Linked DNA regions of Arabidopsis thaliana. The protein of the gene in region 2 interacts with the protein of the main gene of each other region in a pairwise test. Each region holds a gene or a part of one and is shown on either strand. Other genes may lie near its edges. The genes, in order: AT5G45620 and RPN10.

The links.
Region 1: the proteins of RPN10 (region 2) and AT5G45620 interact in a two-hybrid assay, tested with the Arabidopsis thaliana proteins (one study listed by BioGRID).

What each region holds. Positions count from the first base shown.
Region 1 is NC_003076.8:18,499,297-18,504,675, reverse strand, and holds AT5G45620 (Proteasome component (PCI) domain protein), read right to left. Parts: upstream 3,191-5,379; 5' UTR 3,087-3,190; coding exon 2,937-3,086; intron 2,643-2,936; coding exon 2,196-2,642; intron 1,998-2,195; coding exon 1,917-1,997; intron 1,722-1,916; coding exon 1,525-1,721; intron 1,432-1,524; coding exon 1,332-1,431; coding exon of another isoform or gene 1,254-1,331; exon of another isoform or gene 994-1,253; coding exon 808-993; 3' UTR 532-807; downstream 1-531. Other genes in the region: SUV2 (protein dimerization), read left to right, coding at 5,003-5,379. UniProt on the Arabidopsis thaliana protein: Acts as a regulatory subunit of the 26S proteasome which is involved in the ATP-dependent degradation of ubiquitinated proteins.
Region 2 is NC_003075.7:18,056,272-18,061,663, reverse strand, and holds RPN10 (regulatory particle non-ATPase 10), read left to right. Parts: upstream 1-2,065; 5' UTR 2,066-2,204; coding exon 2,205-2,216; intron 2,217-2,297; coding exon 2,298-2,411; intron 2,412-2,505; coding exon 2,506-2,611; intron 2,612-2,738; coding exon 2,739-2,853; intron 2,854-2,932; coding exon 2,933-3,145; intron 3,146-3,356; coding exon 3,357-3,636; intron 3,637-3,720; coding exon 3,721-3,817; intron 3,818-3,900; coding exon 3,901-4,001; intron 4,002-4,099; coding exon 4,100-4,168; intron 4,169-4,253; coding exon 4,254-4,307; 3' UTR 4,308-4,676; downstream 4,677-5,392. Other genes in the region: AT4G38640 (Plasma-membrane choline transporter family protein), read left to right, coding at 1-636, 1,084-1,429, 1,520-1,780. UniProt on the Arabidopsis thaliana protein: Plays a role in maintaining the structural integrity of the 19S regulatory particle (RP), subcomplex of the 26S proteasome.

The DNA.
Region 1 (5,379 bases), on a different chromosome or scaffold from region 2:
AATCAACAATCTTCCTACCATAACATGAAATTTAGAATTATGTCTAGCTGTTATGGTTTAGAGCACAAATTTAGTAGTACAATACATCATCAACGACACACGCATATATACTCTCACTTCTTAGAATTCACATCTCCACAGTGGTTAACACTCTCGAAGTCACACCGGAATCATAAACGCCATCTAAAAACGTAAATCTTTTGAACCTAAAGCAATATAGCTTCCATGAGCAGGCATAGGAGGAAGAGAAGCGATAAGGATAAAGCCATTGCGTCGGAGAAAGAATATACCAACGGTAGTGACGTGTTTCAGGGTTATGAGGAGTGCATAGAGACAATGTTCTGTGCAACGTAACAATGATCGGAAACGCCTTGAAAGGAGTGAGATTGTTGGGAATTGAATCTTGGTATACGCGCTATGAGTCCAAGATGAAATCATCGGGAAGTGACGTAATCGGAGACCAGTGCCAGAAGCCGCGAGAATCCCCAAATTTTAGGCTCAAATCAACTATTCAGAGTGAGTGAGTCCACGTTTAGATCCTATCAGATGACTTTTTCTATAAACTGATTGACTTGTTATGGTTATGTGAATAATGAATGATTGTCAAGGACATGTTTTAAGAAAAAATGTATGAAAATAGTCTAAATGTAGAACTGAAATTTCGGACATCTTGAAATGGAAGTCAAAAGATTAAAAAGCAATTGTAATTTCTTCTACGACTGAAATAAAAAACTTGAATCTAATCCCAGAGAAGATGGTGTTTTACATTCAGTAGCTTCAAAAGGAGGAAGAAGGTTTTCTTTTCTCTTATGCTGCAACAAGATCTGGTGTCTCGGCTTCAACAGATAGTAAAGTGGTGTGAACTTTGTCAACCCAACTGTCTAATTGATCCCTCAAAGCCTTGATCTGTGGAATCCCTAGTACTCTCGGTTGCGCCCATGAGACATAAATTGTTCCGTTCACTTGGTCTATGATGCCCTCGATCAAATGCACCTGTATCATTCATTTTCCACTTTAGATTCTACAGAAGCATACACAATCATTCTATGTCTAAGTCAGGAACAAAACCAGTCAAGATCATTTGAGTTCTATAACAAAATTACGCAATAAGACGACAACTGCAAATACATAAACCTAGAGATACAATGCGTATGGTGATGTTTACTATGTTGTTCTTAATCAGATGACAGGTAGTTCAGTATCATTATGTTGGTCACTCAGACAAACTCTTTCCTTGGTCACCACAACAGATTTTAACCCGGAAGCTGCAGAGTTTTTTGGGTACTAAAAGAACACAAGAGAGAAAAATGCAAGGAGATACTAATACTTACAGAAAGGCTCTTCATGAGAAGGTGCTCAACATCTTCAATGGAAAGTTTAGTACGCTCAGCGATGATGCTCAAAGGAATGGTTCTATCTTCAGCGGGTCGGCTGATGTAGAGTTTAAAATCAAATGTATTAGCACATGATTTTATTTCTTTGATTGAAACGGCGTGAGGTACAATTGCCTAGAGAAAAGTTTACCTGAAGATGATCTCGATAAGGCAGAGAATGTTGATCTTTTCCAAAAGCTTCTTCTCGTTCTCAACAAGTGCTGGTTGAGCAATCAAGGATGCGTTGTGCACACGGCATAGTTCTTGATACTGAACTAAATCACCATGGTTGAATGCCTGTAGAATGTGGTAGAGCCATTCCACATTTGTTCCAAGGAGACTTTTCAACTGTCATCAGAGAAATGCTACATGTAAGAGAACCATCTACAATTCTAAGCAAAACTATAACATGAGAGTTAGAAGCCGTCTCAACTCACAAACAGTATCTATCGTAAATCCAAGCAATTAAAGATCAACAAGAAGCCTTTTATCTACACAAGAAAATATAACAGTAGTTTATGTCGAGGATGAAGGAAAACTTACAATGGGATGGGCTAACAGTTCCCCAAAGTTATAGATGTTCTCCCCAAGTAGAGCTGATAGTGACAAATCGAAAGCCAAATCCTGAAAGACACAGATATGATCTGACATTAGCAAAATTTGATCGGTGACTCTAGGGAAGCTAACTAGTACGCAACTTTTTTCTTCAGTTTCCTCTAAATTTCATCAAATTTCTGAATACTCTTATCCACTATCGCTAACAGGAAACTTAACATAAGAACAAAATATAAGAACAAGGTACATAATATTACAGGGGCATACCAGCTTAAACGATTCTGAAAGGTCCTCCACAGACGTGTATGCAAGATAAAGCAGAGCACTTTTGTAGAAATCAGAAAATTCTTGACGGCACTTATGGTACTGAGAAGACACCCAATAGAAGTTGGCATAGACTGATGGATCAATGTCAGTCATACTATCAAGAGAGCTCTTTCCATCGTCCAAGATTTTTTTGCACTCCTTCTGATCACCTTGCTCAAGCTTGAATAAAGCTTTTTGTGTTTCAATATAAATGATTGGTTCAGTAATCCTAGGCTCTTTAGTAGCTCTAAGTTTCTCAATCACGCTTTCAAGATAGCTAACTGCAGCTTCTTTCTCAGAGTACTGTCGAGAGACCACCACAGCAAAATGCGCAAGCTTCAGAAGATTGATCTTCGTCTCAAAGTCAGTGATGAAATTGTGATAGAACTGAATCAAAGCATCACCAGCCTGAAATGAAAAAAAATTATATTATAACAATGACACAGGTTAAGATCAGACACAAAAACTTGGAAGCAATCAAAATTGATCTATAAACCCTAAAACCTAACTTTCTTCGAAGAACTTAATCCGAGAAAACCCTATCATCTTCCAAACGGATCTCTAACTCGTGTTATTCGGAAGTAAAAACACAGATTCTACGATATTTGTCGAGATCTATGAACCCTAAAATCCACAAGGACCACTACTAAACCTAGATAGATATTGAAACCAATTAGTATTACGGAGGAGAAGCAAAAGTACCTGAAAGACAGCGAGAGCGATGAACTGTTCGAGCTTAAGGGTGAGTTGATGCCAGAGCTTTTTCTGATACAGATCTGCAAGGGAATTGTACCATTCGCCGAGCTCTGGATGCGTATTTTTCAGAGATTCCAAGTATTGTAGAGCAGCCATGGCGAAAGACGAAGACGAATGAAGAAACGAGTTTGCGAATTCTCTCGATCTTATGTAACTCAGCTCAGCTCTGCGTTTAAAGAATCCTAAAAAACCCTTTTCTCAGTGTTTTCACGCCCGACCCGAACCGTCCGGTCCGACCGGTTAACCCGTAACCCGAACACTTTTCCGGTTTGGGTTTAGTGCTAAAACCCAACAAGTTCAAAACCGAAAAAACCCACAAAAACTCGCAATTAACCCGTGACCCGGTGAACCGGTTGAACCGGCCGGGTGTGGGTTTTAAAAAGTTCTCTTGATTTTACAATAAAATATGGGATTTTAGACTTTATTCAATTATTTTTAGAAGTTTTTTCAGTTCTTAAATTCATTTGATGTTTTAGATTTTGTTGAAGACTTTACAATACCGCCTTAAAATTGAATCGAATGGTGAGAGAGACAACCGAGATTAGTTGTTTTAATTCACGATGTTTTATTAATTTATTTATGTCATTGATGATCTCCTAATATATTTGTTACGGTGTTAGACATTTATTGGATTTCAAATTTTTAACCACTTTATTATTATTGTTTGATTTTTTCTATATATATATATATATATTTGGGTGTAAATGATTTTATATTTTGTTAAATATAATATAATTTTATATTTGATTAAATATGATATGATTATTTTTGTTTTATATTTATAAATACTACAAATTTTTTTATTATAAAATACTCTAAATTTTCTATTAATATTAAATTTATTAAATAAATTTTAACTAATTAACCCGTGGTCCAACCCGGTTGACCCGGTGACCCGGTGACCCAGAAGGTAGTCCGGTTCATCGTCCGGGTCGGGTTTCAAAACATTGCCTTTTCTCTTCTTCTTTTTTGCTAAGCAGATAATCCTTTAATTTAAAAAGAAAAGAGAACTACCGGGACCAAAGTATAAATATGTGAGTTTTAAGGGGTATTTATGTAATTTAAATTATAATAAGGTGGATTTGTAATTTAGCATTCCACATGACCGGACAGAGTTTTGAAAACCGGAACAGAAACGAACCAGAAAGTTTTTTTCAGAAAAGAAAAATATAAATATTAGATCAATGTCATTTGATTACTAAATAATCTTATTTATGGTTTACCATAATAATTTTTATTATGACGGTATTTTACAATATTAATAAAATATTGCAAATTTTAAAAATGATTTTCAATTATTTATAAAAATAATATAAAACACATAAAGAAATCAAGTTAATAAGAAAAAGAGAATTTTAACCATAAATAATAGTAATAGTACAAAAAGTTTTTTGGATCCTAAGTTTTACCGACTGCTCCATCAAAAACTTTAAAGCGAAAGATGATTATTTACGATGGATCCGTAAATATAGATATCATAAATAGTTTGTATATTGTTGTTACCTTATGTTTTCATGTTAAGATGTTTATTTGCTCATTTTTCTTTTATGTTATGTTTTGATCAATGACAATTTAATCTATTAGGTTATGTTTTGGAATTAATTAGATAACATTTTGATAACCGGTGATAACAACAACTTGATGACCGGTGATAACAACAACGGTTATGTTTGCTATTTAAAATTTATTTTGAAAGCATGTTAAATGAAAAATTTGAATATCTGATATTGTTATATAGTTTACAGTCTTGTTTAATATTTACATGTACAATATGTCAGTATCAAAATGGATATTCGAAAATATCACATAAAAATTCAGATATCCAAATTTTTTTGAATTAAAGTAAATCACAAAATCAGATATTCCGTTAAAACCAATCGAATAACAAATATCACAATTGTTCCGGATATCCGAATTCGTGTCAGGCGTACTGCTCACTAAATGGGTATTTCGATTTCGCCTCTTTTCCCACTCACTCGCTATCAGTCATTCGAGCGATAGAGAGAAAGAGAATGAGTGGAAATGATGAAGAATTTAACGACGAATTTCTCCTCGCCATCGATTCAATCGAAACCACCCTGAAAAAAGCCGATATGTATCGCCCCCTACCTCCTCCGTATCTTCCAACGTTTCTACCGGCTCCTCCGCCATCGACGAAGATTTCATCGTCTTTATCTCACCCTATGCAGTTACAATCCTCAGCGGGACAACAACGGAAACAAATTCAAGTTCCTGATCCTTTCTTAAGCTATTCTCCGCCGAGAGAACTCTCTCAAAGAGTAGTAAGCGGTTTCAATGACGCGTTAATGGATTACTCTAACTCTACTGTTGTTACTGCTGCTAAACCTATCTCTCCGACTACTTCGAATCGTCGCTGTGATAGTGAGAA
Region 2 (5,392 bases):
CTGGACACTTGTTGTAACGCTTATTTTAAGCGTGCCCTTCTGTTTTAGCGTCCTGCTTTTGCTCAAACACTACACTAAGCAGATTGTTTATGCTTGTTTACCTCTCTTTGTCCTTTTTCCCATCTTTTTCAATGTCTATTGGTTTGTCGCCTGTACTCTTAGCTCTTCTTGTAGCGATGCCCTCCCTCTAGCTTACAGAATACTTGTCCTAGTCTTTGTTTTCTTGATCATCGGGATCATTGTCTGGATCATAGTAGCTAATTGGCACAGAATTGATCTTACTATCCAAATCATCAGTGTTGCATCTGATGCCTTGTCCAAAAATTTGAAACTTTTTGTTGTGCTGCCGCTGCTGACTCTCGGGTTAGTGGTGTACTATGCGCCGATTGTGGTGTTCTTGGTGTTTGCAAGGTTTAATGGGAAGTTTGTGCCGCGAGAGTTGGATGGTCAGTACTTTTGTGAGTGGAAAGAAGATTCTTGGGTTCCTGCGTATTACGCTCTTGCCATTTTAACGATGATCTGGTCTCTTGCTGTAATGGTGGAAATGCAAGTGTATGTGATAAGTGGAGCTATTGCTCAGTGGTATTTCTCCAAGGAAGACTCAATCCCTAAAAAATGCATCCGGAGTTCTTTGAGGTGACTCGCTGCCACATCTTTCTCTATTTTATTCTTGTTATCAATGAATTTGCTGTGCAGTTTCTCTTACAATCAATGGTGCTCTTAGTTCTAATATATGTTTTGTGTGATCGCGGGAGTTTTTGCTTTGAGTTCTCTTAGTTTTGTTTCCTCATAAAATATAATCTATGGTCATTCGAAGTATCCCTTGCTTGGCTTCGTTCTGGAGTATTCAGTGATTCTAGGTCATGGTATTCATAGTCTTGGCCTTATAGATTGGATATTGTATTGGAATCCATCATCTGAACTTGTTTGGTACTTTAAATGTGAAAAGAGACAACAGACAGTGGTATTTTTGAAAGGAGATTATAGCTTTGAGGATCCAAATTTGCATTAGTCTTCAAATCTGTTGTTGGTTTATGTCAAAGCATGTGTGAATCTTATTATTTTTTGTATCTGTCTCTTCAGGAATGCATTTGGTCAATCCTTTGGTACGATATGTGTATCAGGACTTCTCATATGCATTGTTCGTGTGGTCCGGGCAATTGTGGACAATGCAAGAGAAGAGAACACACAAGGAATAGTGAACATGGTTCTCCGTTGCTGTGCAAACGCCTTACTTGGTGCCCTTGACTATCTCAACAAGTTCACCATCAACTTTGCTGCAATAACAGGGGAAGCGTATTGCACCTCTGCGAAAATGACTTACGAGCTGTTAAGACGCAACCTACTGTCAGCTGTATTTGTCGAAACGGTTTCCACCAGAATCCTAACCGGAATAGTCTTTGTCCTGTCAGCCGCATATGCAGTCGCGGTAAGTATTATCTTCTGCTTGTCTCACCAACCAAGCATTTAATAATTGCCATAATGACTAATTCCGGGGTTTGATGATGCGCAAAAGCAGACATGGGCTGTTCTGAGAGGAGTGAGCAACCTGGGTATAGATTCGTACGTGGTGGCTGTACTGGCGTGGGTGTTACTGATTGTGATATTGGCTTTCTTTGTACATGTTCTTGACGATGTGATTGACACAATCTATGTCTGTTACGCGATTGATAGAGACAAAGGGGATGTATGTAAGCAGGAAGTTCACGAGGTTTATGTTCACTTGCCTATCAGCAGAAGCACAAGATCTTCTCTCATCCCAAATGCTCTTAATGCATAGCAGAAGATGATCCAACGTCTCTGCTTGTTGTATCTTTTTTTGTTTGTTAGCACCGTTGTAAATTCCTCTCTGGTGAACTGTGGTTTGTCTTCTTGGGGTTTATATTGATGTTTTGTAGAGTTATGGGGTAACAATGTTGAATAAAAGAAAGACTTTAGTTATAGGAATTACTGTAATGTGGTCTGTGTTTCTTTTATTCATTAATAAATCAACTTTGTTTTGCTTTTTATCAAAAACAACCATTGGGGCTAAATTGAAATAAACGTAAAACATTAGGGTCTAAAAGGAGAAAGTAAAAAAGTAAAGGGGATATTTAAAGAAGAACAATGTTATTATTATCGGTCTAAACTAAAATCTAAATCTTGCCTTCCTGACTTTCTCTCTACGACAGAATTTTTGAAGCTTCTCTCTGCTTATCGACACGATGGTTCTCGAGGTGATTTTCCAATTACTTGTGCTTATCTTCGTTGATGATCCACGTTGAATGCTTTTTCTCATCGATGATTTCTTGTTGTAGGCGACTATGATATGTATCGACAACTCCGAGTGGATGCGAAACGGAGATTACTCTCCGTCTAGGTTACAGGCGCAAACGGAAGCTGTTAATCTTCTTTGCGGAGCCAAAACCCAGGTAATAATTTACGTTTTTTCACTTGATTCGATTAGGGTTTTTGGGTTTGCGTGAGATTGTGATTTTTAGGGATCTTTCTTTTTTGCAATTGCAGTCGAATCCGGAGAATACGGTGGGGATTTTGACAATGGCTGGCAAAGGAGTTAGAGTATTGACTACTCCTACCTCTGATCTTGGCAAAATTCTGGCCTGTATGCACGGTATGTATCTCTCTCTCCAATCTTTCTATTTATTATTAGCTGTCTACTTAGAGCAATTAGAAAAAATCTGTTCTTTCTCTTTATCATTGAGTTTGACATCAATTTGCTACTTGCGTCATCTTTTCAGGCCTTGATGTGGGAGGAGAGATCAACTTAACCGCAGCTATCCAGATCGCCCAGCTAGCTCTTAAGCATCGCCAAAACAAGAATCAACGCCAAAGGATTATTGTTTTTGCTGGAAGGTACCGAATTGCTTTGTTTTTGCTGAGTAACTTTTGTATAGTTTTATACTGATGTTTTTCTTCTGCTTCTACTTTTTAGTCCAATCAAGTACGAGAAGAAGGCCCTAGAGATAGTTGGAAAAAGGCTGAAGAAGAATAGTGTCTCTCTTGATATTGTCAATTTCGGGGAGGATGATGATGAGGAAAAGCCTCAGAAACTCGAGGCGCTCCTTACAGCTGTGAATAACAATGACGGTAGCCACATTGTTCATGTTCCTTCTGGAGCCAATGCTCTCTCAGATGTGCTTCTCAGGTACCATCCCTTTTCTTCTTTTTTTCTAGGTTATGTAGATTGTAAAAGGAACAGTTTCAACAATATCCGGCTTGGTAGGTGCACTTCATGTGGTTTTGTGTGTTTAGGTCTTTTGAGCTCTCTAGTCTTGCTTTTTATCAATGCTGCAACAAAACATTTAGACAGTGATTTGAATCATAGATAGTGTTTTAACTTTTAAATTTTCTTCCAGCACACCTGTATTCACGGGTGATGAGGGTGCAAGTGGCTATGTTTCTGCGGCAGCTGCTGCAGCGGCCGCAGGTGGGGACTTCGACTTTGGTGTGGACCCAAATATCGATCCAGAACTTGCTCTTGCCCTTCGGGTCTCCATGGAGGAGGAGAGAGCAAGACAAGAAGCTGCTGCCAAGAAGGCGGCCGATGAGGCAGGTCAGAAAGACAAAGATGGGGACACAGCTTCCGCCTCACAGGAGACAGTTGCTAGGACAACTGACAAGAACGCTGAACCAATGGTTAGTTGTTACTTAAAATTGAGTGTAGCATTCTTATATAGTCACAGGCGGAGAGATTGTTAATCATACAACCTTTTGTGGCAGGATGAGGACAGTGCGTTGCTAGATCAGGCAATTGCTATGTCTGTTGGTGATGTGAATATGTCAGAAGCGGCTGATGAGGACCAGGATCTGGCTTTAGGTAAGTAGAACAGTGTGGTAAAAGTATATCCATGGCAATCAAAATTGGCATTTTTCTTATATTTTTTTATACTCCATGTGCAGCTCTGCAAATGTCAATGAGTGGGGAAGAGTCAAGTGAAGCTACAGGTGCTGGAAACAACCTCTTGGGAAATCAAGCCTTCATATCGTCTGTTCTCTCATCGGTAAGCCTACATAAACCTTAGTCAGTTTTTTTCACAAGCAAAATGAAAGAGAAAAGTAGTAGGGTTAGCTTTGGTACTAAGACTTTGTGTACACGCAGCTTCCTGGGGTGGATCCAAATGATCCGGCAGTTAAAGAACTACTAGCGTCTCTGCCAGACGAGTCAAAGGTGTGTCTTTGTTGATGTTTATGATTACATCTTTTTGTTATTTGAAAAAGAAGATTCTGATAAATGTATATGGTTAAAATGACAGCGTACCGAGGAGGAAGAGAGTAGTAGCAAAAAAGGCGAGGATGAGAAGAAGTGAAGAAGGATCTGAGAGTCTCAATAAAAATTCCTCTTGTTTCTTTGGTTTGATAGAGATTGGAACTGAATTTAACTAATCTCTCTGCCTTGTGAAATTTGTTTTTTTCTCTCTCTCTCGCCTTTTTATAATGTTGTTATTGTACGAGTCAAGGACTAGCTTCCTTCTTAATTTTTATTGGACTTTATGTCAATGGGCTCTTAGAAAGTAAGCCTATTTGTTACAGGTCTCTCGATCAATTCAGTAGAATAGCGAGTCCTAAATTCGTAATGAACCTTGCACAAGTGTCAAATCTGAAATATTCTTACGACAGTGCAAAAAGTCTACATTGGTAATTAAATTTTGCTCACATTTCTGCGAAGTTATGTTTTTCTCCAAGTAATTAAAGTCCCACGTGGCAGTTAGGTACTTAATTCCTTTGTTCTACTGTTGGCTCGTTTTTTTGTTCTTTGCAATCTAATTTTTATATGCGCTTATTAGTCTGCTAATTGCAATCTATTTGCATTATTTAATTTATATTTATCCCAAGATATGTGTATTTGTCTGCTAATTGCCACATGCGAGCTGTAGTTTTGATCATCTACGTACGTGTAAACTATGCTACACAAACAAATTGAATTGCTAAATATGACTATCGTTAAAGACTTTTTATTGGGGAAACTTATTAGTGACGAAATTTCTTTGTTCCCTTTTAGAGCAAGAAAGGGAAAGACAAAAAGAGTCACAAGACTCACAAACTATAACATAAAAAAAAAGAAAGAAGAAAAACTGATAGAAGCTTCTATTGCATCTACCTAACACCTTTTGAAAAAGTCGTTTCTTTACAAATGAAAATGAATAATATTAGAAAGAAGAAGGAAGAGGAGGCAGGTGCGTCTGTCTTTGTTCACTTGTGTCTGTGTGTGTGGTCATCCTTTTGTCCTTTTCCCCTTTTTCCTTATCTTCAGTTCTCACCACTCCTCCTCTCCCATCTCTTTCATTTCCAAAATATCATCCTCCTCTATCAACTTCTACATGTTTTTTTTTGTTATTCCTTCACTTTCATAATATTTACCCAACCACTGTTAAATCTCGATGTTCGAAATTAA